Linked DNA regions of Macaca mulatta. The protein of the gene in region 1 interacts with the protein of each later gene in a pairwise test. Links are inferred from orthologs where the notes say so. Each region holds a gene or a part of one and is shown in the gene's direction. Other genes may lie near its edges.

What was found.
Region 2: the proteins of TRAF3IP1 (region 1) and SNAP91 interact in a two-hybrid assay, tested with the Homo sapiens proteins (2 studies listed by BioGRID and IntAct). The link is inferred for Macaca mulatta from reciprocal best matches to the Homo sapiens genes TRAF3IP1 and SNAP91.
Region 3: the proteins of TRAF3IP1 (region 1) and OLFM1 interact in a two-hybrid assay, tested with the Homo sapiens proteins (2 studies listed by BioGRID and IntAct). The link is inferred for Macaca mulatta from reciprocal best matches to the Homo sapiens genes TRAF3IP1 and OLFM1.
Region 4: the proteins of TRAF3IP1 (region 1) and GOLGA4 interact in a two-hybrid assay, tested with the Homo sapiens proteins (2 studies listed by BioGRID and IntAct). The link is inferred for Macaca mulatta from reciprocal best matches to the Homo sapiens genes TRAF3IP1 and GOLGA4.
Region 5: the proteins of TRAF3IP1 (region 1) and KANSL1 interact in a two-hybrid assay, tested with the Homo sapiens proteins (2 studies listed by IntAct). The link is inferred for Macaca mulatta from reciprocal best matches to the Homo sapiens genes TRAF3IP1 and KANSL1.
Region 6: the proteins of TRAF3IP1 (region 1) and EXOC1 interact in a two-hybrid assay, tested with the Homo sapiens proteins (2 studies listed by BioGRID and IntAct). The link is inferred for Macaca mulatta from reciprocal best matches to the Homo sapiens genes TRAF3IP1 and EXOC1.
Region 7: the proteins of TRAF3IP1 (region 1) and DMD interact in a two-hybrid assay, tested with the Homo sapiens proteins (2 studies listed by BioGRID and IntAct). The link is inferred for Macaca mulatta from reciprocal best matches to the Homo sapiens genes TRAF3IP1 and DMD.

What each region holds. Positions count from the first base shown.
Region 1 is NC_133417.1:143,573,367-143,576,866, forward strand, and holds part of TRAF3IP1 (TRAF3-interacting protein 1), read left to right. Parts: intron 1-1,802; coding exon 1,803-1,871; intron 1,872-2,303; coding exon 2,304-2,465; intron 2,466-3,500.
Region 2 is NC_133409.1:102,119,014-102,123,127, forward strand, and holds the start of SNAP91 (clathrin coat assembly protein AP180), read left to right. Parts: upstream 1-1,314; 5' UTR 1,315-1,407; intron 1,408-1,427; exon of another isoform or gene 1,428-1,752; intron 1,753-2,567; 5' UTR 2,568-2,597; coding exon 2,598-2,727; intron 2,728-4,114. UniProt on the Homo sapiens protein: Adaptins are components of the adapter complexes which link clathrin to receptors in coated vesicles. Clathrin-associated protein complexes are believed to interact with the cytoplasmic tails of membrane proteins, leading to their selection and concentration.
Region 3 is NC_133420.1:7,408,700-7,412,846, reverse strand, and holds the start of OLFM1 (noelin), read left to right. Parts: upstream 1-1,347; 5' UTR 1,348-1,669; coding exon 1,670-1,819; intron 1,820-3,033; exon of another isoform or gene 3,034-3,120; intron 3,121-3,877; coding exon 3,878-4,027; intron 4,028-4,147. UniProt on the Homo sapiens protein: Contributes to the regulation of axonal growth in the embryonic and adult central nervous system by inhibiting interactions between RTN4R and LINGO1. Inhibits RTN4R-mediated axon growth cone collapse.
Region 4 is NC_133407.1:99,579,349-99,582,848, forward strand, and holds part of GOLGA4 (golgin subfamily A member 4), read left to right. Parts: intron 1-1,570; coding exon 1,571-3,500. UniProt on the Homo sapiens protein: Involved in vesicular trafficking at the Golgi apparatus level. May play a role in delivery of transport vesicles containing GPI-linked proteins from the trans-Golgi network through its interaction with MACF1. Involved in endosome-to-Golgi trafficking.
Region 5 is NC_133421.1:71,124,842-71,128,865, reverse strand, and holds the start of KANSL1 (KAT8 regulatory NSL complex subunit 1), read left to right. Parts: upstream 1-1,224; 5' UTR 1,225-1,257; intron 1,258-1,608; exon of another isoform or gene 1,609-2,034; intron 2,035-2,785; 5' UTR 2,786-2,896; coding exon of another isoform or gene 2,897-2,919; intron 2,920-4,024. UniProt on the Homo sapiens protein: Non-catalytic component of the NSL histone acetyltransferase complex, a multiprotein complex that mediates histone H4 acetylation at 'Lys-5'- and 'Lys-8' (H4K5ac and H4K8ac) at transcription start sites and promotes transcription initiation.
Region 6 is NC_133410.1:77,615,710-77,619,209, reverse strand, and holds part of EXOC1 (exocyst complex component 1), read left to right. Parts: intron 1-1,329; 5' UTR 1,330-1,339; coding exon 1,340-1,463; intron 1,464-3,427; coding exon 3,428-3,500.
Region 7 is NC_133426.1:33,159,100-33,163,180, reverse strand, and holds the start of DMD (dystrophin), read left to right. Parts: upstream 1-1,281; 5' UTR 1,282-1,517; coding exon 1,518-1,548; intron 1,549-4,081. UniProt on the Homo sapiens protein: Anchors the extracellular matrix to the cytoskeleton via F-actin. Ligand for dystroglycan.

The sequences.
Region 1 (3,500 bases):
AAGAAAAATAGTAGTACAGCTCTTACATAGCGTGGTGTGGAATGAAAACTCTTATTGATTAATACCTAACTTGATGCAAATTAAGGAGTTGTGGCTTGAATCCAGAGGAGGCTGACGTTAGGATGGGACTGTCTTGTTTGTAAAACACAACTCCCCGTAATAAATATGCTTTATTAGCTGACCTAGGACACACAGCTGTGGGCATACCTGTCCTTACCACATACCATGCAGCCTGCTGGTAAGGGTCCCGGCTGTTCAAAATGCTTGTTGCTACAAATTTTACTGATTTTACAGTAACCTACTACATTTCAAAAATTTTCAATTTGAGAGAACCCACGACCCTGGCTGGGTGTGGGGGTTGAGAGGAACAGAAAAAATCATTGTCCTAAAAGCTGGTTTTAGGGCTAATTAAGAGGTACAGGTTACCTGAGGGAAGGGGTGACTGGGGAGAGAACCAAAGCTATGGGGTGTGGAGCCTGCCATGATCCTAAGAAGTGAGTAGTGACACGTGGTGAGGAGAAAGACCCTTGCAGAACTTCTAGTCTTAGAAAACTAGGCTGAGAAATTCCTTTTCTTTTCTTTTTTTTTTTTTTTGAGAAAGAGTCTCACTCTGTCGCCCAGGCTGGAGTCCTGTGGCGCGATTCCGGCTTACTCCAACCTCCACCTCCCGGGTTCAAGCAATTCTGTTGCCTCAGTCTTCTGAGTAGCTGGGATTACAGGCATCCGCCACCATGTCTGCCTAATTTTTGTATTTTTAGTAGAGACGGGGGTTTCACCATGTTGGCCAGGCTGGTCTCGAACTCCTGACCTCAAGTGATCAGCCCGCCTCGGCCTTCCAAAGTGCTGGGATTACAGGTATAAGCCACTGTGCCCGACCAAAGTTCCTTTTCTTTCTGGAATCTGTTCCCTCCATTGCACCTGAAGGACTCTTGTAAAAGGCTGTTCCAGGTCCTCCTCGTGGTCCTTCGGCTCAGTTCACGTCCCTGAGTGGCTTCACAGGGCCTCTGTACCAGGCCCCGAGTGTCTCTCTGGCCTCAGGCTCCTGCCGTTGTACATTTCCCTGGCACAGAACTCTGTGGGTCCTGGACCTTGTGTGGACTTTCTTCCTTTTTTTTTCTTCTTTTTTTTGAGACAGAGTCTGGCTCTGTTGCCAGGCTGGAGTGCAGCGGCTCAATGCAATCTCCACTTGTCGGCTTCAAGTGATTCTCCTGCCTCAGCCTCCCATGTAGTTGGGACTATAGGCATGTGCCACCATACTCAACTAATTTTTGTATTTTTAGTGGAGACGGTGTTTCACCATGTTGGCCAGGATGGTCTCAATATCCTGACCTAGTAATCTGTCCACCTCGGCCTCCCAAAGTGCTGGGATTACAGGCATGAGCCACCGCGCCCAGTGTGTGGACTTCCTTATGTCTGGCATGTGCATCTGAAATGCCCCCTTGCCCAACTCTTCTGTAAGCCTGGTCCCCATCTAGGTATGATTCCTCCAGGAAGGGTTCCCTGCCACCCTTGCCCCTCCCAGATTGTGGATTAGGTACCAAGCCTGAGTGCTTCCTTACTACCTGCACGGTGTCATCTTCACCCATCTGTCCACACAGCCAGACTAAGTTCTGAGAGGATCTGGCTGGCTTCTGCCCTGCACAGCACGTGTAGTAGACATCAAACATTTCTTGAGTAAGTGGATGATTCAAGTCTGGGCTGCTAGTCAATTCTGACATCTCCCAAGTGTGGAATTGAGTGGATGAGGCTGATGAGGTGGCTGTCTGTGCAGTGACGTGGTGGCCTTTCTTTCTCTCTTGAAGGTGATTAGAATGACTGGTTTCATGAAGGGCCTCTACACAGACGCCGAGATGAAGTCTGATAATGTGAAGGTGGGTTTGAGTCGGGCTTCTCCTGTTAACCCCTCGCCTTAACGGATGGGATTTTTTGTAGGCCGGGTCGTGTGGCGTGTGTCATTTCTGTGCTGCATGTGGTTGGAATACAAGGTCAGTGAATTCATGAATTGATATATACCCTTCCTCATTTCATTTTCTCATTGTGGTAACTGGATCTCATGCTCGTTTTATTCACTGAAAAATGGGATTAGTATTTCAAAGATTAATGCTAGCCTATCAACTAAATTAAAGGCTTTAATGAATTGTTTTTGTTTTGTCAGTAAAAGGTCAGTATTTCTAGATTTGTTATAGATCTAAAAATAGCTTCGTATGTAAACAGAAACTATCCTATGCCTGTAGAACATACTGAAGATAATGCATACTCTTCAAAGTATTGTAATATTTATATTTTCAATGGAAATGTTTCAGGATAAAGATGCAAAAATTAGCTTCCTACAAAAAGCCATAGACGTGGTTGTAATGGTGTCGGGAGAGCCACTGTCAGCCAAACCAGCCCGAATCGTGGCCGGGCATGAGCCTGAAAGAACAAATGAGCTGCTCCAGATAATTGGAAAATGCTGTCTCAACAAGGTACTACTGCTGTCCTGGCATTTTGAACTTACTTAGTACTTGAGTAAAAGGTAGTCGGGGGTGAGGGACTCACATGTGCGGGCGGTTTAGGGAAGGCGTTTCAGTGGCGTCTGTCAAACACTGTGCTTTGAATCTGATCCCACCCCTTCTGGAGCCCCAGAGATACAGGAGGAATAATTTAAAACTGAATGATGAGACAAATAAGGGTATCTTATACGCAAGTTCTGCAAGCTTTCAATATAAAATCGGGAACCCCGCAGGTACTCTGTGCCCGGCTGGTGGCTGGAGGCTGGAGGCCCAGGCTTCCATGCCCTCTGGCTTTCTCCTTTCTGGGGCTCCTTTGAGGACAGGTGGCTGCTTCCAGCCGGGGCTGCAGTGGCTGCAGGAGCACTTTTCTTCTTCCCTGGGTCTTACGAGAGTCTCTCTTCTCTTCCTGCATCTCCAGCCTCTGATATCTGCTTGTCTGTTGCCCTTCCTCTCTCTCTCTTCAACCCTTTCTCTGTCTCTCTCGGTTGCTGTTTCAGTTGTATAGGGAGTAGATTTTTTTCTTCCCGAGCTTTTCACTGTGGGCTAGAAACTTGGGTGTCAGGCCTCAGGCTTCTCTGGTTAGGTCCAGCCTGGGCCATGTTTGCCCAAACGTTGGAGAAGGTCTTTCCCCAGGGTCTTCCTTCTTTTGAAGGCCGAGTGGTCCCCCATGGAGGAGCAGGTTGGACTTGTATTGAGAGTATGATTAATACAGTTTTTCACATACCTAGTGGGTGGTTGGCTGGGGGCTAACCTTAAATGTGACCCAAATGGGAACAGGTAGGTTTCAGCCCCCTCAACAGCAGTGGGTCGTGGAGGTGCATAGTGGTGTCAGACTGACTCCTAGGAGGCCCCCCCGGTGCAGGTCCAGCATACAAACTTAGAGACTTGGAAGCAGATTTTGCCAGTACACTGGCCTCTGTGCCTAGACTCCCAAGCTCCCCTTCCCGGGTCCTTTATGTTGCTCGTCTTTTTAAAAAGCACATCTGGCTCCTATCTCCTCTGCTGAAT
Region 2 (4,114 bases), on another chromosome or scaffold:
TTCATGAATGGTATTAGTTTGTTTCTTGTTATTGCTAAGTAGTATTCCATTATGTGGATATACCATGTCTTGTTTATTCATTTGCTAGTAGAATAACATTTGGCTTTCCTCCAGTCTGGGACCATTATATTAAGCTGCTATAAAACTGGAGTATAAGTTTTTTGTTGTTGTTGTTGTTGTTTTTTAAATAGAATTGCGTTATTTCCCCCGTAAATACAGTAAAACTAGTATTTGAGACAATGGTGCTCTTAAGCTGTCTCTCTTTAGTCATTAAGCTTCCAATTAGTGCTAGAATCATTCTCAACAGTCAGGAAATCATGACTGCATACTGAACACTGAACCAGGTGAAAGAGAGGAATATATAACAAAACCTTGAGATTGATAGGTATCCATACATGGCTTCAAGGCTGAGCAGAAGCCACCAGAAGCCAGGGGGAAAAATGCCAGGAAAGTTCACAAATATAGTTTTGATCTTCATGCTACTGTGAGAATTAAAAAAAAAAAGTTGAACATAAATAACAACCTTTGAAAATGTCAACATGTGAAGCTATTAACCAACTCCACATCCCTGTTTAGAAATTCCTGCTTACTATTCAAGTATACACTTGATATTCAATTGACGGATGTTCCAACACTATATTCAACTGGCAGAATTACTTTTAAAGGGTACGAAGGGTTTATCCTTATGCACTCAAATGATTACTGTCGAAGGTAACCTGGGACTCGATTAATGGCTGTTAATTATTCGCCCTTCAGCAGACCTCAGTATCCCTTTAAGACTAAAGTGGCTAGAATTACCGGCCCACCCGGGCTCCCAGTTGTAACTGAGACAAGCGGAGGAGCCTGAGGAGCTGAAGACGCACAGGTAACGGTCGCGGATGGCCGGCAGGATCTGACATTTAAAATCACCCTGCTCATCTGGGCCTGGGCGCCTTTGACAGGCGGGCGTGTCAGCGACAGTGTGGGGGAGAAGGGGCTGGGCTTCGCCAGGCAGCGCGCGACGACGCCCTTGCCTTGGCCTTCACCGAGTAGAACCCGAGAAGCCCACTCGCCTGGCTTGGCCAACGCCCCCACCGCCCAGGGCGCCCCCAGCAGTAGGCGGGCAGGTGTGCGCGGTGCGCGCTCCCAGTGCGTGCCGGGTGCGGAGCCAGCATCGGCGGGGCGGCCAGGAGCCCAGCGGAGAGCGGCGAGCTGGGTGGGTGTCGGCCTCCTCGCCTCCCCGCCTCCTTCTTCTCCCCTCCCGCTTGCCGGGGATGCTTGCGCGAGGCGCCCCCTCGCCTTTAAGCTCCCAGCCCCGGGGGGCGGTGTGTGTGAGTAGCTGGGAGGGGGCCGCGAGGCACTCCGCCGAGGGCTCGTCCGGGTTTGTCCGCCGCCGTCACCTGACTCGTCGGAGGAGCCACAGCTGAGGTGGGGGCGGGGATGGGGACGCAGCTTGGAGCGCTAGAGAGACGCGGCGGCGCTTGCAGAAGAGGCGGCGGCGGGCGGGTACTGGCTTCTGGGGCCAGGGGCGGCGGGTGTCGGGACCGCGGAGCTGAGGAGCGGGGCCCGGCCAGGGCTGGAGACTTTGCGCCCAGGGGCACCGGGTCTGCGCGCGGTCGCACACACCCACCAGCGCGGCTTCCCTCAGCTGCCCGGGCTCCGCTCATCCTGCGGCGGGCGGCGCCGCTCAGGGGCGGGGTGAGTACCCGCGGCCGTACTCGGCCCCCTCCCCGCGCCAGGGCCGCGCGGGGATCCACAGAGGATAATCCCAGGGTACGGAGAAGGGCAGCGGCCGGGTGACAGCTCCGCGGAGCGCTCCAGGGCGGGCGGGGGGGCTGGGCTGCGCTGTCAGCCCGGCTCCGCTCCAAATCCGGGAAGGGTGAGGTGCCCCAAGACTCCGGCGCCTCCGCAGCGCTCCCGGGCGGCCCCTGCGGCAGGAATTTGGAGACCGGGGGGGAAGGGGCCCGGGCTATCGGCCTCGGCGAGGCTTTGGAGCCGGCGGCGGGGAAGGAAGGGGAAGCGAGGGCATAACATGGCGCAATGCTAGGATAATCTCCTTCGCGACTGAGGGAGGACGAGCCCTTTGCTGCAGCAGCGCGAGGAGGAGGAGGGAGGCAGCCAGGGGTTGGGTAGCCGATGCATTCCCCGAAGCCTGCAGGCTGCTAGGAGGAAAGTCTGCGAAGGTGGGAGGTGGGCACCGGTGGGTGCGGCGCCCAGGGAATAACCCGGACGCACGTCGTGGCTAGCGCAGCACCCGCGTGTCAGGTTGCGGGGAAAGTGCTGATTGACAGGGGGGTCCCCAGGGGGCGAGTCTGGTCCTGTGTGGGGGTTGGGGGAGAATGGGGACGGTGTCACGATGCTGAGACTGGAGCCCACGCTGGGGTTCCGTGACTGCCCCACTCACGGCCAAGACTCCCTGGACCGCATCGCAGGAGCGGGGCTTGGCGCGTTGCTGGCTCCAAGAGGTGGTGCCAGGGTGGGGATGGAGGAGGAGAGAGCCGCCGCGCGGCTGGAGGAGGCAAGGCCTGGGTGCTTGGAGGGGAGGGTCTGCGGATTAAAGCCGGACCGTCTCCCCTTGTTTCCTGCAGAAGAGGAGGTGGTAGACGCGACCAGAGAAGATGTCGGGCCAAACGCTCACGGATCGGATCGCCGCCGCTCAGTACAGCGTGACAGGCTCTGCTGTAGCGAGAGCGGTCTGCAAAGCCACTACTCATGAAGTGATGGGCCCCAAGAAAAAGCACCTGGACTGTAAGCATCTCTTTATATAAGAGGGACATGCGCACGGCAGAGGCGCCTGGGATGCTGGTGGTGCGGCCTGTGCTCTTGGTCGATAATGCTGCGGCCTCTGATATTCCCAGCCAGGTTGCCCCTGAGCTGAAATTCTCCAGCTGTGGAGGTGTTCCCTTGGGTTAGTCCTGAAACCTTGTCTTGTGAGCCATTTTTTCCTCTTATTTAACTCCAAGGTCTTGGTGAAGGGGGAAAAATACACACACACACATTATGTGTATATACACACACACACACAGATTGTACACTCTGAATTAGATGTTTTGCACCTTTTTTTCTTTCTCCACCCACCCTCCCTTCTCCAAATTAGAGGAAATTAGAGGTTGCACAGTCAAAAAAAAAAAAGATGAATTTATGGAAGGTCAAACTTGTCACCCTAGTTCTTTCCTAAATACATTTCAGATAATTCTAAGATAGTATCATCTTTTTCAGTGTTGCTCCTGAGGATTTTTTTTGTGAGAGAGTGTGTGTATGTGTGTATGTTACCATACCAAACAAATGAATTCAAGATACTGAATGAGGAAATTGGACTTAATAGCTATGGCAATTTCATTTTACACATTCTGGTACATTTTGTCCCATTCTCAGAAAATGCTGGGTGAGATGACTATGCTATGGTCACAAAATGGATGTACTTCCCCAGCATCTGAGATGGTGCAATTTTAGATGGAAACATTTAATTCTTAATGTTGTTTTTGTAACTGGTTATTTGATGGAAAAGGCTTTATTCTACTCTGGAATCTGTACATTTCTGAAATACCTTAATTAACAGTAAATCTTTCGTCATTGAAGGATAAACAGAGGCACTTAGAAAAGAAAAAGGCTTTCACCTGCTTTGGGTGGTGAGGCTCCTCATAAGTCAGGCTATATGAGTGTATGTTCAGCAGTTGCTATTTAGTTCTCTTGACCTGCTTAGGATCTTCTGTTCTATTGTGATGTTTTTGGTAAAGGTCAGTGTTGGCATGAGAGACACAGGTATGGCCATAACCATTTCCTCAGCTGGCTTCCTTTGCTCATCTTCTGGGTTTTTTTGGCCTGAGGTCTTTTCCCTACTATCTCCTTTGTGCAGCTGAGAAAGTGGTACCAGTGTCAGAATTCACTCTCGCCCTGTTATCTGCATAAGTCAAGCTTGGTGGAGCTTACAACTGGACGTTGTAAGAGTTGGTCTAGCCTTCTGAACCTGTTGTCTCATAGAATTGAATAATTTTGTTTCTAGAAGCTGATCTGAGGAGAAAGTACCATTATGCCTTTCCCAAGGGAATGTTTAACAAAATTTGTTGATTACAGTATTATATGTTATATGTGCAGTACAAGATGAAAGAGGCCACCAGGGCCAGGGCACCTAACA
Region 3 (4,147 bases), on another chromosome or scaffold:
TGAGGGGCTCATGTAACTAGCGGGTCTCACACCCAGCACTCAGGCCAGGATCATCACGGCTGCAGCTGAAGTCTCTGCAGCCGAGGACAGCGCGCACAGAGAGAAAAGCCCCAGGAAGGCGTTGTTCCTCTCAGGCAGGCGCCAGGGAGGCGCGCTCCTTCCGGTCCGCGTCCGTCTTTCAAATCCCATCCAGGAAGGGAGATTAATTTTCACCCAGGCAGAGAAGAGTGTAGTGAGTGAGCTGGGGGAGTCTTTCCTTCCCAAATGGCTGGGAAAGCTTAATGGAAGGCCCCGGAGGAAGCGGCTTTCATCTCCGATTAGAAGCCTTCTGCAAATGCAAAAACCCTATTAACTCGTTTGACCCAGTCAGGCCTGCTGCGCTTCGGGTGGGACTGACACGCGTGAGTCCTGCCGCCGTCGCCGCAGAGAGCCGGGAAGAGGGGCAGCCTGCGCCACTTGCCCTGCAGCTGGGCCTGGGCGCCAGGACTCAAGCGCCACCCCTGAGCCAATGAGGACACCCCCCAACCCACACCCCTCCACCACAGACCCCAGTCCCCGCCCCACACCCCCACCTCCCCAACACCACGCTCATGGGCGTGGCCCCTTCAGCTCCTGAGGCCCAGGTCTGAGCCCCAGACCGTATGCAGCTCCTGCCCGGTGTGCGCTCTCCCAGGCCCCTCCCTGCGCACCGCAGGCCACAGCGGACCACCCCAGCCCCCGCCCTGCTGTGCCGGTGCCAGGGGTGCCGGTTGGCTCCCTTCCTCCCAAGCAAGGTCTTAGGGCACCGCGGCTGCCCAGGGTTCGCAGGGGCGCCTTTAACTCTGCACCAATACCCCGATGCTCCCCTGGCGCTGGAGGCCTTCGCGAGTCTGGCTGCTTTTCGGAACCGGCCCTGCCTGCTGGATTTCAGGCGAGGGCCCAGGCTGGCTGGGACCCTCGAATCACCGCGGAAAAGGGCCCCAGTAGGCAGGATGGCGCCGTCTCTCTGCGGGCAACCTTTGCCCCAAAGCGGTCCCTCTGCGGGGATCGGAGAGGGGTGCCTGGGCGTGAGGATGGGAGAAGCCCCGGGACAGGAGGGTCGCGGGCCGTGCCCCAGCTGGGGTCCCCACGCCGCCGCCGGGTATTTTATGATCTGGGGGGGTGGTGGTGCGTCCGTCTCCTCATGTCACCCTGATCCCAACTCCTGGGCGGACTGGAGTTTGCAGATCTCGCTGCCGGCAGCCAGGGGGCGGCGGGGAGCCGAGCAAGAGGAAAAATCCACCCATTTCCTGGGCGGATTGCGTCGGCCCCGCCCGGCCGAGCCCCGCCTCCCGGCCGCGGCCCCCGCGCGCAGCCAGCGCAGCGCTCAGAGCCGGACGGCGCTTCCCGGTGGCGGCTGAGGAGCCGGGAGGGACGCAGCCGGGCAAGGCGGGGCGCGGGGCGGGCAGCGCGGGGCGCGGAGCGCGGCGGGCAGAGGCCGCCTGGCCACCCTCCCTGGCGCCCGGGGAAGGCGCGGCGATGGCCGGGGCGCGCGGGGCGGCGGCGGCGGCGGGCGGGCGGCGGCGGGCCGAGGGGGCGCGGGGATACAGCCGGGCGCCCCTGCCCGCCGCGGTGCCCGCCGCCTGAAGGCCGCCCGGGCGCGGGAGCCAGCGCCAGCTTGGAGCGGGCGCTGGAGGCAGCTCGAGGCGCGATGTCGGTGCCGCTGCTCAAGATCGGGGTCGTGCTGAGCACCATGGCCATGATCACCAACTGGATGTCCCAGACGCTGCCCTCGCTGGTGGGCCTCAACACCACCAAGCTCTCGGCGGCCGGCGGCGGGACGCTGGACCGCAGCACCGGCGTAAGTGCGCCCGCCGGCCGCCTTGGCGCGGCCCCTCCTTCTCCTCCTCCTCCCCCTCCTCGGTCCGGAGCTCGGGGCTGGGCGGGCGCCGCGCGGGACCCGAGTTTCCCAGGGAGGTGGCAGGGAACAGGGCGGGCAAGGGCAGGGGTCGCGAGCCGGCGCAGCAGTGGTGACCCTGCTCCCCACTCCCCCAGCCTGGGCCACTCGATCTTCCCCGCGCACCCCCGGGGCGGCGTTTCCTTCACCTGGGCGCTTAGCCGCGGGGCCCGGGGAGCTTGGTGGGGGTTCGGAGGCTTGGAGTCCTGGGTCACTAATCATGAGCCCCTCATTGAAAAGGTTAGAAAACTAAGGCTGGGGACTTGGGGATTTGTCCAAGGTCACACTCAGCGAGTGAGGGGTGGAGTCACCGCTAGACCCTAGTCTGGGCTCGGTCCAGCGGGGACTCTGAGCCCGCCCTAGTTTGTAAAAGCCAGACTGGCCCGACCGGACTGGGAGTGGGGCCCCGGCCGGTGGGCTCTGAAGCTCCTGTCCGCGCCTTCGTTCCCAAAGTCCCAAGACACCCTTTCCTCCCCAGTCCATAGGAGGGTTTGTTCCTTCCCCTGGGAGGACGGTGCTGAGGGGCTGGGGTGGGGCCCCTGGGAGCCTGCCCTTGGGTGCTCACTGCCTCGCCTTTGCCTTCGTCTTCTGCGCGCACTCCTCCCTCCTGGCCTCTGAAACTGAAATCGAGTCTCCCTCTCGAGCCTAGCGGGAGGGGAACCGTGGCCAGGGCTGCTTCTGGGCAGAGCTGACTTAGATGGCTGGGCAAGGCTGAGCTGGAACCAGCCACCCGGAGGGCCGCGGGGGAAGGGGTTGCTGCTGGGAAGGCGCGCCCCAGACCACTGCCCCTCTAGGTTGAAAGGCGAGGTGAAGGACATGAATCTCCCTCCCTCTCCCTTTTTGCTGCCAGAGGTTCAGTGCTCTGCGAAGAGGGCTCCGTGGTGTGGCTCCCTCCTAAGACTCCTCTTGAGGCCACCCCCGCAGCTCCTTCAGGAATCTGAGGGCGATTCCTCCATGATGACTTTGTTCCGGCCTGCTGGTCCCGATCTTCCCGGGTTAGGAATGAATGAGATTAAAGATATGACTACTATAGATTCTCCCCGCCCAACTTCTCCTCCCCATCTTCATGCTAAAAATAGCGGAGAGATGACCTGATGCCACCGGAGGGGAGCGTGCTTAGAGACAGTGGGGCCGGCAGCAGGGTGGAGCGTGGAGGCTCATGAGTGCCTGCCCCGGTACCTGGCTGGGCTGGGCTGGGCTGTGAGGTTAGACCCGACATAGGCAGCTCCGGTTTCTTGGTGGTCTTTGGGCAAACCTCAGGACTGAGGTTGAGGGTGACCCCTGCACAGCATGTCACCGGCAATTTGGTGACATTCATCAAATGGCTCGCGGGTGGAGCCCACGAGGAGTTGGAAACCTAGTGTTTTCTTGGGTCAGCCTTTGCCACGCTGCCGGCAGGGAGGTTGCCGCCGCTCGGGGTTCATCACAGCTCTGGGCAAATAGGCTGCTGGATCTGGGGCTGTTACAGTGGGTGCTTCTTCTGCAAGTGTCAGGGAATGGCAGGGCGAGGCTTGGTGGTGCCAGTCACCTGTGCTTGACTTACGGGAAGGATATCCTGTTTCTGACATACATGCCCATTTCGAGCCACCCAACCTTTGCTTTCCTGTCTTGCCCCTTGTCCAGTCTGTGGCCTCCAGTTGCCCCTTCCATCCACCCAGCAGATCAGTTTGGCCAGATGACAAACTCCAGACATCCCTTGAGTTGAACTTGAATTTTAAGAATGTAAAGGTTCTTGCCTCTTTGACATCCTTCCAGCCCTGGGCCTCCTAACGGGAGACCTATGCTTCTTTGTTCCCAGGGACCCTTTCTTCCCTTTGGGTCAAACATGTCTTGGGACCATTTCCTCATGCCTTTTCCTGGGGGTGGATGTGGACACTTTCCCCTGGTTGTTGGCTCTGATACACAACCTCATGGTCTCCCTTTCTCTCCTTCCCTCTCCCTCCCCGCCCCGCCCCTCTCCAGGTGCTGCCCACCAACCCTGAGGAGAGCTGGCAGGTGTACAGCTCTGCCCAGGACAGCGAGGGCAGGTGTATCTGCACAGTGGTCGCCCCACAGCAGACCATGTGTTCACGGGATGCCCGCACAAAACAGCTGAGGCAGCTACTGGAGAAGGTGAGTCTGTGCAGAGTGTGCGTGTGTGTGCGTGGGTACATGCCTGTGTGCTCACGCCAACACCAAGCCTTGGCTAGCTTGCAGGCCCCATTTCTGCTCTTTCCTGGCTTGTCTCCACTC
Region 4 (3,500 bases), on another chromosome or scaffold:
CAGATTCTGGAGTTGTGAAACTATTTGCATATGAAAATTTGTTATCTCTCTAGTCAGTAAAAAGTTTCAAAGATTACTGGATTAGATTTATGTATACGTGCCCTTCATTTTTAGATAGTGTGAGCTATGCATGGGAGTGGATTTGGCTTTGGGCTCTGTTTATTACATGGTGCTCCTGGTTCTGCCTTTAGCTAGCTGTATTTCTGTCAGCCACTGAGTCTGCCGCTTTTCACTGACCCTGCAGCATCTCCATTGCGTGCTCATCCTTGATGTCTAGGAAGTGGGCTCATTTTGTAGGCAGTACTTGTTCTGGCACCTTCCTGCTTGTCCAGGTTTATCTTATGCCATGTCCTGAACGTAATCCAGTCTCTGCTTATATCACAGTTTAATTACACTAGTGTGTTGTTTTGCATTTGGTTTCCCCAGTTTTTCCATACTAAACATAGTCCTGTAATGAACATATTTGTATATATGTCTCAGAGTGTACATTTTAAAGACCCTGTCTGACCCTTTCCTTAGCAGTATTTGAAATGTACAACCTGTTTTGAAAACTGACGATGTTTAGACTTGTTAGCTTTTTCCCTCTGATTTAGATAGTAAAACAGCCATACTTCTTACTCATAGTTCTAAACCATCCTTAGTTTTTCCATTACGAACACTTACAAAAGGTTCCATGGTGGGTGAAATGGACACTTAGGAGGCCTAGATCTTCTACTTGTTAGCTTTTTAATTTAATTGTACTTTAATTTCATCACCTGTCTCGTGAAGAGATTAGATTCAGTAATTCCTTAGGACCCTAGGACCTTTCCAGCTCTGACATTTTGTGGGTCTGCCTTACTTAACTCCTTCAGAGTCAAAATTACATTTTCATGAGATAATAATAATCTTTGTTAAAATTTGTGCAAGTTCCTTCTTTTTGAAAAAAGAAAGAACCTTCTAAATGATAATTTTGAAGGTGGAAAAATCATACGTTCTTTTTCTTCTAAAATTATGAGAATAATAAAATAGTATGTAGGCTGGAACTATGAGTTGGGTTAAGCATATAATCTTTTCTTTTCTTGTCTTTTTTTTGTTGTTTTTTTTGTTTGTTTTTCAAGATAGTCTTGCTTTGTTGCCCAGGCTGGAGTGTAGTGGCACGATCTCGGCTCACAGCAGCCTTCGCCTCCTGGGTTCAAGGGTCCCCAATCTTAGCCTCCCGAGTAGCTGGGACTACAGCCGCACGCTACCCCGCCTGGCTAATTTTTGTATTTTTTTGGTAGAGACGGGGCTTTACCATGTTGGCCAGGCTGGGTCTCAAACTCCCGGCTTCAAGTGATCTACTCTCCTTGGCCTCCCAGACTGCTGGGATTACAGGCGTGAGCCACCGTGCCTGGCCGTAATCTTTTCTTTGTTATATGATTCCTTTAGTAATTGAGCACAGATTCTTTGTTCTTTCTAGTGTTTGGTATGATATGTTAAGCTATTTATGTAAATTTTGATCTTCAGGTAGGTGGTAGACATCATGTCTGTGTATCATTGCTAATAGGTAAGTACGTACTTTAATAAAAATGCATCTGTTTTTAATTAACAGAGAATTCTTGAATTGGAAAGTTCTTTGGAAAAAAGCTTACAAGAAAACAAAAATCAGTCAAAAGATTTGGCTGTTCATCTGGAAGCTGAAAAAAATAAGCACAATAAGGAGATTACAGTCATGGTTGAAAAACACAAGACAGAATTGGAAAGCCTTAAGCATCAGCAGGATGCCCTTTGGACTGAAAAACTCCAAGTCTTAAAGCAACAATATCAGACAGAAATGGAAAAACTTAGGGAAAGGTGTGAACAAGAAAAAGAAACATTGTTGAAAGACAAAGAGATTCTCTTCCAGGCCCACATAGAAGAAATGAATGAAAAGACTTTAGAAAAGCTTGACGTGAAACAAACAGAACTAGAATCATTATCTTCTGAACTGTCAGAGGTATTAAAAGCCCGTCACAAGCTAGAAGAGGAACTTTCTGTTCTGAAAGATCAAACAGATACAATGAAGCAGGAATTAGAGGCCAAGATGGATAAACAGAAAAATCATCACCAGCAGCAAGTTGACAGTATCATTAAAGAACACGAGGTATCTATCCAGAGGACTGAGAAGGCATTAAAAGATCAAATTAATCAACTTGAGCTTCTGTTGAAGGAAAAGGACAAGCATTTGAAAGAGCATCAGACTCATGTAGAAAATTTAGAGGCAGATATTAAAAGGTCTGAAGGGGAACTCCAGCAGGCATCTGCTAAGCTGGATGTTTTTCAGTCTTACCAGAGTGCCACACATGAGCAGACAAAAGCATATGAGGAACAGTTGGCCCAATTGCAGCAGCAGTTGTTGGATTTGGAAACAGAAAGAATTCTTCTTACCAAACAGGTAGCTGAAGTTGAAACACAAAAGAAAGATGTTTGTACTGAGTTAGATGCTCACAAAATCCAGGTGCAGGACTTAATGCAGCAACTTGAAAAACAGAATAGTGAAATGGAGCAAAAGGTAAAATCTTTAACCCAAGTCTATGAGTCCAAACTTGAAGATAGTAACAGAGAACAGGAACAGACAAAACAAATCTTGGTGGAAAAGGAAAATACGATTTTACAAATGAGAGAAGGACAGAAGAAAGAAATTGAGATACTCACACAGAAATTGTCAGCCAAGGAGGACAGTATTCATATTTTGAATGGGGAATATGAAACCAAATTTAAAAACCAAGAAAAAAAGATGGAAAAAATTAAGCAGAAAGCAAAGGAGATGCAAGAAACATTAAAGAAAAAATTACTGGATCAGGAAGCCAAACTTAAGAAAGAGCTTGAAAATACTGTTCTAGAACTTAGTCAGAAAGAAAAACAGTTTAATGCCAAAATGCTGGAAATGGCACAGGCTAACTCAGCTGGAATCAGTGATGCAGTGTCAAGACTGGAAACAAACCAAAAGGAACAAATAGAAAGTCTTATGGAGGTTCATCAACGAGAACTCAATGATGTCATATCAATCTGGGAAAAGAAACTTAATCAGCAAGCTGAAGAACTTCAAGAAATACATGAAATCCAATTACAGGAAAAAGAACAAGAGGTAGCAGAACTGAAACAGAAGATCCTCCTATTTGGGTGTGAAAAAGAAGAGATGAACAAGGAAATAACATGGCTGAAGGAAGAAGGTGTTAAGCAGGATACAACATTAAATGAATTACAGGAACAGTTAAAGCAGAAGTCTGCCCATGTGAATTCTCTTGCACAAGATGAAACTAAACTGAAAGCCGACCTTGAAAAGCTGGAGGTTGACTTGAATAATTCTCTGAAGGAAAATACTTTTCTTCAAGAGCAGCTAGTTGAACTGAAGATGCTGGCGGAAGAAGATAAGCGGAAAGTTTCTGAGTTGACTAGCAAGTTGAAAACCACAGATGAAGAATTCCAGAGTTTGAAATCTTCACATGAAAGCAGTAACAAAAGCCTAGAGGACAAGAGCTTGGAATTTAAAAAACTGTCTG
Region 5 (4,024 bases), on another chromosome or scaffold:
TTCACCATGCTGCCCAGGCTGGTCTGGAACTCCTGACCTCAGGTGATCCACCTGCCTTGGCCTCCCAAAGTGCTGTGATTACAAACATGAGCCACCGCGCCCGTCCTCTCTCATAGTTTTATTGTTCTATTTTCCACAGACCCTTCCTTCCTTAATTTTCATGCCTCTTTAATATTCTGTTTCTTTTACCTCACTGACCTTCTTTTTCGTTCTCCTACCTTTTACCGTGGGTGTCTTATTACCCTGCTTAGGGAGTTTAGCATGTCACAGACCACTATCTTCAGGCAGAGGACCCCACATAGTCTCTAGTCCTGATTGTCTACCCTCTCTCAAGTTCTGTAACTTCAGTTGCCTCTAGGACACCTTCACTGGGTTTTACAAAACCCTGTTACCTGGAACTGAATATATTAAAAGCTAAGATTCCTCCCCAAATCTGCATGTTGTGCCAATTTTCCTGGCCAACTATCTTATCTGTCCCCTGGTTTTGGGACCTTATTTAAACCTTTAAATCAATTTTTAAAAAATTGGAATCTTGATGAATGGTGCAAAAATCAATGGATACAAAGGATACGCCGAGATATGTAAGTCTTCCGCCCACTGGTTCCCTAGGCACTCAGTTCCCCTCCCAGGAGGTAACCACTGTTGCCAGCTCTTAAGAGTGATTTTTGATTCCTTCTTCTGCCGGCTCTATCTCAAGTCCTTCCCTGTCTGTGAGATGTGTGCCCTTTCCTTTCCAGGCCCTAGTGAACTGATATCTGGTTGAATTTATATATAAATATTTATATGTGTATATTTTCTATACATATATAACATCTCTCCCTATGGCCTTCCGGCCTGGAGTTTTCATCACGTCGCTTCCTGGATGAAGGAACCTCGAGGGGTGAGGGGCAGGGGTTGGGGGTGATGGAGAAGAGAACCTAAAGGGGACTTAGGTAGGGGGTTCAGAGTGGCCAACTGGCGTGACGCTCTGGCAGGATTCCTATTCCTATTCCTCCCACCTCAGGCCCGCTTCTAGTCCTCTCATCCAAAAGCCTCTCGTTTCCAAGGGCCGAGACAGAGACAGAGACAGCGAGATACACAGAGACAGAGACGCCGAGGCACCAGCATCCCTCTCCCCCTTCGGTCCCGCCCCATCTCTCTGACGGACACTATCGCTCAGCCAATGGCGCTCACGATATGCCCCTGAAGGGCCAATGAACGCCAGAGGAGGGCGGAAGATTCCCCGCCCCCACTTCTAGGCTTGGTTGAACCGTGCAGGTAGGTCCGGGGCTGGGGGAGCTGTCTTTGGCACTGGTGCCCCTGGGGGTGGGGGCACGAGTGGACAGGGGTGATGGTGAGGTAGAGGCGGCGGCCCCGACACGACGAGCTCGAGGGAGCGGCCCGGCTGGGAGGCGGGGGGCGGCGGGGCCCGGGGAGCGGGCGCCGCCGAGGGCCCTGGAAGCGGCGGGGCTCGGGGAGGGACGCGTGTGTGGGGCACGGGGACCCCCGCCCAGCGCCCACTCGTAGGCCTGGGCCGCAGGCTGCCGACCGAGTGGCCGGGGGGCCTGGCTGCCCCGGGGGCGGGCCGGGGCCGCGGCCGGGGGCGCGGAGCGGAGCTCGGGGCGCCAGGCCGAGCCGAGGTGGGACGGACCGACGCGGAGAGGAAGGGAAGCCGCATCCCGCGGGCCGCCCCTCCTGAAGCGAGCCGGGCAACGGCCGCGGGCGCCCCTGCCCTGAGCCCACCCCGCGCTCTCCCCTCCCTAACAATGGGAATGGGGCAGAAGGAGGCGCCCCACTGCGGAGGGGTGAGGGGTAGGTTTGGGACTGGGGTCCGCGGTGGGGGGAGGTGCGATCTCGGGCTCTCGCCTCTCCGCTCCCTCTGGCTCTGGAGTTGGGGGCCCTGGTGGGGCTTTGAAGCCTGCCTGAGACTTGGGTCAGGAGTCAAACTGCCGCCCCCCGCTCCTCCCCCAAAATCCGGTGAGCGGTAAGGAAAGTGATGCCAAGTCTTCGAAGCCTCAGTGACAAACGCATAGCAAGAACACATCCACTCCAGAGGTGTTTATTTTTTATTTTTATTTAAATAAGGGTACTTTTCGACATTTGTTTTTAACGAAGTGGGTGCTGTTATTTTTGTCCCTACGCGGGCAAGCCTCCATTTTAAGCGAAGCAGTAACTGGTTAAGCTGGAATTGTATTCAGGCCCAGGACTTGAACGAGGATCCTACTAGAGGTCATTTAGTCCATCCTCCAGCCTCCAGGCAAATTTACCTTCCTCCTACCCTCAAAATTAAGTTGCTCGGTCTGCTTTTAACGATCTCTGGGGAAGAAGGGTATTTTATTTGTTTCTAGTACTTCAGTCAAGAATAGGTTTTACTTTTCATGTGGAATTGACTCTGAAACTTAAGCATAATCTTGGGACAGTCGGGATGATTAGAGAGGTTTTACTTTACTAAATATAATTAAATGTAGCAAGGGTCTTTTTTTAGATGGTTAGTTAACAAATCACGTTTAGTGTTTATGAGGTACCCTGGAAACTTTATTCTCTCTGGGATTTTGGCTGTTTGATAAGCAATTTTACATTATCTAAAGTAAGTGTTACATATTTATTTCTCTTTTTATATAACGTATGTTTCTACACATATGTACGGAGACACACACACATTTGCCGTTTTCTAAAGGGGACTGTATTTTCTATACTTTTTTAGTGCGATGAGGCAAATAGTACTTCAAAATCCCTGCCCATGTAGCTTAAACTATTTGCATTTTCTTGATTATTTTTTAGTCTAAATGAAAATCCTCTCTTTCAGATACCTTATCGAAACAAAAGATTTTCCTACCTGCTCATACTTGGTAACCGAGGGAATTACTAAGACTTCTTGCTCATTTCTGAGTATTGTCTTTATATCCTGACACTATGAATGCTATTTGGATGCCTCTTAAGGTAAGATGTGTTATTTTTTCATTACCAGCCTCATTTTATTCATTTTTCTTTAGAACTTTGTAATGCTTGTAATTCTTGAATTTGCTATTCTTCAGTTCCTTTACCTGCCATTTCTCTTGCCTCTTGTGTTTGCTTCCTAGGATTGATTGGCTGTACCTTACTTTGCATTGCTACTGTTCTTTGATTATCGGTGTGAACGTTTTAATGAAGTTCTCAAATTAACTTCCATTATAATGAAAGGCAGTGATCTTTTTAACTTTAAATTATGGCAACTTACATAGTTATAAAATTCTGTTCCAATTTTAGGATAGGTTGGCAATTCAGACATCTAGGTCCACTTTTCAAACAGGTACTTTAGAGTCATAGGTACTAGGGTGTGTCCCACTCTTGCAAATCAGTAGCTGATTCATGTGTTACAAAAGATGTGTCATTAACCATTTGTTTACTCTGAAACTGCATATAGTATATTAGAACATTCTAAGACCTGCTGGTTTACACGTATGACTTTTTCAGAGTCCTCCTGCTGCACCCCAGTCCTTTGCGTGACATTTCACACTGTTTTTCTCAACAGGTAGCACTTATGCCAAGTTTATTTCACAGGGTAAACCTCATTTGGACAGTGTGGACAGATGACCTTTAGATGAAAAAGCTCCCATTGATGTGGTGGTTCTCCAGTCTCTTTGGCTTCTCTCATCTTTTATACATAGATGGCCAAAGAACCCTCCATTAGGACTAGGCAAAGGGCAGAGCTTAAGACTGAAATGGGTGGCTTCTTTGATTTTCTTGTGACTAAAAATACATTTAAAAAAATTAAATATTTTTAAATTTTACAAACAAAAACCAAAAAAGACATAAGGAGGGTATGGGAGGAAGGACAGAGAAGGATAAGCAGTCTTGGAAACCCTCCACCAGCTTCGCCTTCCTTCAGAGTTGGATACTAGCTTAGTTAAGATTGTTGTGTGCTAATCTGTTCTGTAGACTTCCAGATTAATGCAGAGGAGAAATCGGACAATAATGCAGTCTGCGTAACCTAAATATCTGGACTTGTGGGAAATCTTAGGTCATGTAGACTGAGTTCTCATCTTCATTTACGTTTCAGCTGCTA
Region 6 (3,500 bases), on another chromosome or scaffold:
CGTTGAAAAAATAGTAATATATATCCACACAAATATGTATATGAAAAATAAAATAGAGATTAAAAATTATTTTAACTTAAGTTGATGTTTGAAAAGATGCTGAGTTAGGTAAGATAAAGGAGATAAGTGGAAACCTATTTTTATAACAATTTTATTGAGATTACATATGATAAAGTTCACCCTTTTCAGTTATATAATGTAGCGATTTTTGGCATATTCACAAGGTTGTACAACCATCATTACTATCTAGTTGAAAAGCATTGTCATCACCCCAAAAAAGAAACTCCATACCCATTAGCAGTCAATCCTCCTTTCCACCTTCCTCTCCAGCTCCTGAAAACCACTTATATTTCTGTATCTATGGATTTTCCTATTCTGGATATTTCATATAAATGGAATCATACAATACGTGGTCTTTTGTTTGCTTAGCATAATCTTATCAAGATTCATCAATACTGTAGCATGTTTCATTACTTCATTTCCTTTTTTTTTTTTTTTTTGTAGCCGAATAATCCATTGTGTGGCTATTCCACATTTTACTTATATATCATTTGATGGACATTTCTGTTATTTCCATTTTTTGGCCATTGCAAATAGTGCTACCATGAACATTCATGTACAAATTTTTGTGTGGACTTATGTTTTCAGTTCTCCTGGGAGTGGAATTGTTGGATTGTAGGGTAGCCCATGTTTAACTTTATGAGGAGCCACTAAGCTGTTTTCCAAAGTGGCTGCACCATTTTACAATCCCGCCAGCAACGTACAAGAGTTCTGTTTCCTCTCATCTTCACCAACACTTACTATTTTCTATCATTTTTATTTTAACCACCCTTGTGAGTATAAAGTGGTTGACACCTCATTGTGGTTTTGATTTGCATTTCCTAGTGGCCAGTGATGTTAAGCATGTTTTCATGTGCTTATTGTCCATTTGTATACCTTTGGAAAAATGTCTATTCAGGTATTTTATTCAATTTTTAATTGGGTTATTTGTCTTTTTATTGTTGAGTTGTAAGGGTTCTTTATGTAGAAAACTATTTAAAGATTGAGCAGGGAGTTGAAGATTTTTTTCTTAAATCTTGTGTTTGTGGGGGGGGTGTGTGTGTGTATACTCGGTGAGCATTTCCAAACATTTTAGATTTTGATAACACTGGTTCTCTAATTTTATTTCCAAACTTCCAGCTTTATATTTTTGTGATATAGGTGTATTCATATAGTAAATCGTTTTTCCTAGGCTTGTTAACCAAAAATCATTTTCAAATCATAAATTCAGAAGTATAAGGTGGAATGATGTTCAGAGTGAGCTTAATATCTATACTCCAAATTTTTCAGCTGAGAAAAGATGACAGCGATCAAGCATGCGTTACAAAGAGACATTTTTACACCAAATGATGAACGCCTGCTGAGCATTGTGAATGTCTGCAAAGCAGGAAAAAAGAAAAAGAACTGTTTTTTATGTGCCACAGGTGGGTATTTAGTAAGAAAGAGTACTTGTTTTGTATCCTTTTGTTATTTAGGAGATATTTCCTTTTGTTTTGAATATCCCAGTTGTCTCTATAATTGAACAAACTGTTGGGTCAACAAATTCCCACTTGGCTTTGACAGGCTGTTAGTTGTTGCCAATCTGGTGGTAGTGAAATAGTATCTCATTGTGGTTTTAAATTGTATTTCCCTATAATGATGAGATTGAGCATCTTTTCATGAATTTCTTGGTCATTGCATTCTCTTGTCTATGAAATTTACCTGTTTAAGCCTTTTACTCACTTTTCTATTGTGTTGCTTGTCCTTTTACTGATTTGTACAAGTTCTTTCTATAATCTTTCTACAGTCTTTTGTTGGTTGTATGCATCCCAGGTAGTGGCTTGTCTTTTCACTTTTTATGATGCCTTTTAATGAAATTTATAATTTAATATAATTAAATGAAATTAATTAATCCTTTATGGCTTTCCCTTTTGGTGTCTTAAAGATCCTTCCCGGATATCTTTTGTACAGTCATAAAAATATTTTCCTAAATTCTAAAAGTTTTATAATTTTGTCTTTTACATTTTAGTCTTAGTTCACCTGTGTCGACATCTGTCGTGGTGTGTGTGAGCATTTCTGGTTATCATCTTATATCTTATTTTTATTTTGTTTTTGTTCTTTATTCCACCTAAATTTTAGAAACAACTTGTCAAGTTTCAGACTTTGTTGGGATTTTGATTGGAATTGTTTTGAACCTATAGTTCAATTTGGAGAGAACTTACATTTTTATTGTATTGAATCTTTTGTGTCGATGAACATGGTACAGTTCTCTGTTTAGGTGTTTTATAACTTTTATGAGTTTCATCATTTTCTCTAAAGGTTTCGCATGTATATTGTTGGATTTATTCCTGGGTATTGATTTATTCTTAGATTTTATTTGATAGTCATGAAAGCTCTTTTTAACATTAATACATTTTAAAATCATATATTGTTAGAATTCTACAATGAATTGTTGGTGTTTTATATGGATATCTATCAATCTTGCCAAACTTTCTTATTAATTCCAATTATTTATAGACTCTTTGAAGGTAGTGATATTTTTCTTCCTTCCTTTATAGTCTTTATATCTTTTATTTATTTTTGTTGGTTTAGTTTCCTAGTTAGGACTATCCATCCAGGCTCCATCTCAAAGAGAATGACTTCATTTTTAAGCATGATATTTGGTAGAGGGTTTTTATAGCTATCCTTTACAGTGTTAAGTAAGTTCCCTTCTATTCCTGATTTCTTCCAATTTTTTTAAAAAATCATGAATGGGTGTTGAATTTTATCAACTGCTTTTTATATCATTGATAGTATCATAAAATTTTCTCCCTTGTTAGTGTAGTGTATAATTGTACTTGGTTTTTCAAATGATAAATTGACTCTTTAGAATGACCTCACTCAATTATAATGTATCTGTATTAGGCCATTCTTGCATTGCTATAAAGAAATTATTAGGCCAGGAGTAGTGGCTCATTCCTGTAATTCCAGCACTGAGGGAAGCTGAGGTGGGCAGATGGCTGGAGCCCAGGAGTTTAAGACCAGCCTGGGCAACATAGTAAGACCTTTATATGTAAATATATTGTTGCTCTTTGAAATGCTATTTTGCTCTTTCAAGCCTCGCAGACTTTACATATGTCAATCATTCTTTAGATTTTTACCTCATACTTTTCTTTAAAACTGGTCTGAATTAATGTGTTATTAATATATTATTCCTTTATTTCTCAAGGAGTCTACTCTGAACCTCTAGTCTGACTGAGATGCTTCTATTAGGATTCTGTGCTTTCCTCAGTCAAAGCCCTTGTTGCAAAGTATTACACCTCTTTTAGTATCAGCTACTAGGCACCTGAAAGCTATACTTGCAAGGAGCAAAAGAAGAATGAGTGAAAGGAGTAATATTTCTAATAAAAGTGTGTGTTTTACTTAACAGTGACAACTGAACGCCCTGTGCAGGTTAAGGTGGTCAAAGTCAAGAAATCCGATAAGGGAGATTTCTACAAAAG
Region 7 (4,081 bases), on another chromosome or scaffold:
TATGCATATTTAGACAACCACACAGAGGAAAGGAGGTGACCTAGGGAAAAGAATGTTTTCAATTAAAATTAAGCCTTATGTTTTATCTCATACACATTTTGCTGGGGAAAATAGCCATGTTATGACAATAATATTCTAAAACGCAAAATGTATAATTAACTATTAAGGTAAACATCACAGTCTGACTCTATAATTTTTTTTTATTTTTGTCTATTACTCATTTCAGTCGCAAGCAGTTGAATGTTTGACATAGAAAAATGAGTCTGTCACTTTAACAAATGGTACAATAAAAACACTCAAACAAAAATTTTAGTAGGGATTATTATAACTATAAAAAGAATATCTTTCTTTAAAAAATGCTACCAATGTTTTCTATCAATTTGGGGCTCGCCTGTTGCATAAAAGTAATAAGGAACAAGATGAAGAAGACTTCTATTGGCAAAGAATGATTTACATGCTGAATGACATAATACAACTGCATTCACTTAATACAGAAAAAAAAGAGCCTGCATTCAGAACCATTAAATGATCATTAACTCAATGTCTAAGAAAATGGTGTTTTAAGAATTGGCAGCAGAGAAATGGAAGAAAGAATAATTTGTTAGTAAAGAAGTTTTATCATAATTCACAACTGAAATTTAGGATTTGAGAAAAATGTCTTTGCTCCATTATAAGAATATTCTTTATTTTAGCAGGAAAACATGTCCCATGAGACCTACACACACATTCTGCCTTCAGAATTCAGCTGCTGTGTTCTGCTGCTGCTTCTCTTATTCAGACTGTTGGCATCATCAATACATGACTTTTGCAATCAAAAATCTCAAGGGGAAAAAATAACTTTGGTAGGCAGTGGATACATAACAAATGCATAGATTATTCTGGGCATTTCTTTTTATTTGGTAGAGTGAAATTTTTGGTGTTGTTGAGAGGATAAAAAAGGCATTTAAAAGTCAATTTTAAATCGGGATTTTCTGCTCTGTTATAAATTCACATGAAAGTTACAGAAAATATTGTTATGGTTTTGTACTGAATAGTTTTTGTGTTTGGAAGGCTTTAAAAGCTAGTACTATGTCCACTGTGCTATTCTGGTTTGGATATTAATCAGAACACAGTTGAGCTTATTTGAATTCACAGAGCTTGCCATGCTGGAAGCACAACCTTATATGTAGTGACCATGGACAGTCCTATTATGGGAAACCAACTTGAGAGAGAAGGCGGGTCACTTGCTTGTGCGCAGGTCCTGGAATTTGAAATATCCAGGGGCCTCTACAGAATCCTGGCATCAGTTACTGTGTTGACTCACTCAGTGTTGGGATCACTCACTTTCCCCCTACGGGACTCAGATCTTAGAGGCAATTACCTTCAGAGAAAAATGAATAGGAAAAACTGAAGTGTTATTTTTTTAAAGCTGCTGAAGTTTGTTGGTTTCTCATTGTTTTTAAGCCTACTGGAGCAATAAAGTTTGAAGAACCTTTACCAGGTTTTTTTAATCGCTGCCTTGATATACACTTTTCAAAATGCTTTGGTGGGAAGAAGTAGAGGACTGTTGTAAGTACAAAGTAACTAAAAATGTATTTTACTGTGGCATAATGTTTAGTTTGTGACAAACTCACTAATTAGGTAGATTGATTTTAAATTATCACAGTAGTTTGCAAAGAAGCATAAATGTTATATATACTGCATATATATATGTATTTATTCAGGAATATATATTTTTCATTGGGAAAACTTTTCAATAGAAATTGAGTTTATAAGTTTTTCTTTGCAGAAGAATTAAACACATGATTTCTTGATTAATAAGCCACTGCAGTAATAGAATATGCAGAATGTCATTTGATTATAACATATTATTTTGATTGCTGTGAGATAGTTTGTATATCTCAGTTATTATTTTGACTAGTTGATACTTCTGTATTTAGTAACAGTTACATAAAGGTTACTGACCTGACATATATTCTCAATTGAACTAACTACTGTATAGGAACTACATGGAGGCCTAAAAGTTAGGAGAAGTTTCTCTGACATATGGAGAAAATAAAGAATAAAATGAGTTGGGATGGAAAATTGAAGGATGTGAAAAGTATTGATAAAGATTTAATTGTAATGTTGCTTTCTCACATTTACTATTTCAAATGCTCTTTTCTATAGCATACCATGATGATTATTTCAAATAATGATGTGATCTATGCTATCAAATGATCAGATGATCTCTTGGGAAAACAACATACAAACTTGAGGAACTCCTAATTATGTTTAGTAGTAAATTATATTTAGTAGATGTTTCAAGTCTATCATGAGCTAGCTTTTCAGTTCAATTTTTTGTTTGTCTTCCATATAGAAATGCAACTATTTTGTTTATTTTTAAGAAAGTCATGATGACTATTGAAGGATTTAAAAATGGACTGTGGCACAACAGTAAAATAATATATGATAAGGACTGTGTGTCCCAAAAAGATGGGAGTTTATCTCTTCCCCACCTATCTTTGACTTGTGGAGTATAGTTATTCTAAAATAGATATGAGAGCGATGCCTATAATTAAGAATGAAAAAATAAGTCTCTCCAAATAAGTAATGCTCCACAACTACTAAAAAAAAAAAAAAAAAAAAAAAAGGCAGACGTTTTACCACTGTGAAAAATTTGTGGAAATAAGTTAACATTGTCCATGTATTGAGTCACATTAAAAGCTACCAGATTTTATAATACAACATTTAGTTACATTGTTTGCTTGCTTCATAAATTTCTTTTGGTGAGTATCATTATTGCTTTTAGATTGAAAAACTATTATATTTACTATCATTACAAAAATATGCATGGCATATATCTGTTGTTTGCAATATACACATATACACATATTTTTATTTATCATTTTTATTTCTTTGATATATGTAATATAAATACTATCAAAATCGCTAGTGATTTTATATATATATATATATTCTATATAATTAACCACATATACCAGTATATAGAGCAATTTTGAAAGAATATATGCAATTCTGCTGGAATGAAGCAAGGTAAACCTATCCTCTGCTTTGTCGTAGATAGTTGAAAAACTTTCAGTTCTTCGAATGTGAAGGAAGGTAATCTTTTTGGAACATGTCCTGTAGGATTTTTTCACACTGCATTTAAAAAATCATCAAGTAATGCCTATGCAACATGACAATGAGTTTGTTAAGGAAAATGGAGATATACTCAGGGCTATATTATACATTAAATTTTGTTGCTTGACAATATACTACTATTTGGATGTCTGACATTTGAATCTGGTTTGTAAATTCGCCTTAGTTTGAAAAACTTACAAAAGTACATTTTGTTTTTTAAACAGAATAGTTACTCTGTAAAAGAGATCACTGTATTGTCAAACACATTGTATTGTTTACTTTTAGAATTACTCAAATAATGCATTGTAAAGAATTATTCAAATAGTGTATGGCAAATAGATATTTCATTTGAATATATTTAAATGATGTAAGTCATCTTGAGGTCTAACAAAATCATCTTTTAGAATTTCATTTGCAGAATCTTTTAAAGACATCTTAACTATGAAAAAGAGATCGCTGATCTAAATTGATAATATACTGTTAATACAAAGTTTTGGTATATCTTACATGGCATAACATTATGAAAAATACAACAGAGTATGTCATATAGATGTTATTCTAAACTTTAAAAAAGACTACAAAGTGTTTTATGCATAATTACATTATTTAAGGGGAAATAGGTGTTGGTTGACACTTCTAGCTAGACAGTACTGAATTGCAAATTCATCATTTGGGCAGAGATATTAATACAGCTTCCTCTTTATTCCTATAGCATTCATTTGAAATCCCTGTACTCCACGTCATTTGCTATATATGAAACAAATTGTCAAGTTTTTAACCACTTGTGTAGTTTAATAAAAGAGATTAAAATCATTGCCTTGGAAACATCAGGTGTTTTTCAAAATTCTATTTTATTATCTTTCATCAAAATTTTATCTCAAGAGTAAAACAAACTGATTTCCCAAACTTTCCTTCTCCTCCCACTTTCTATTGTAATATTTTCCTAACTTATTAAAAATGATTTATCATACTCTTTCAT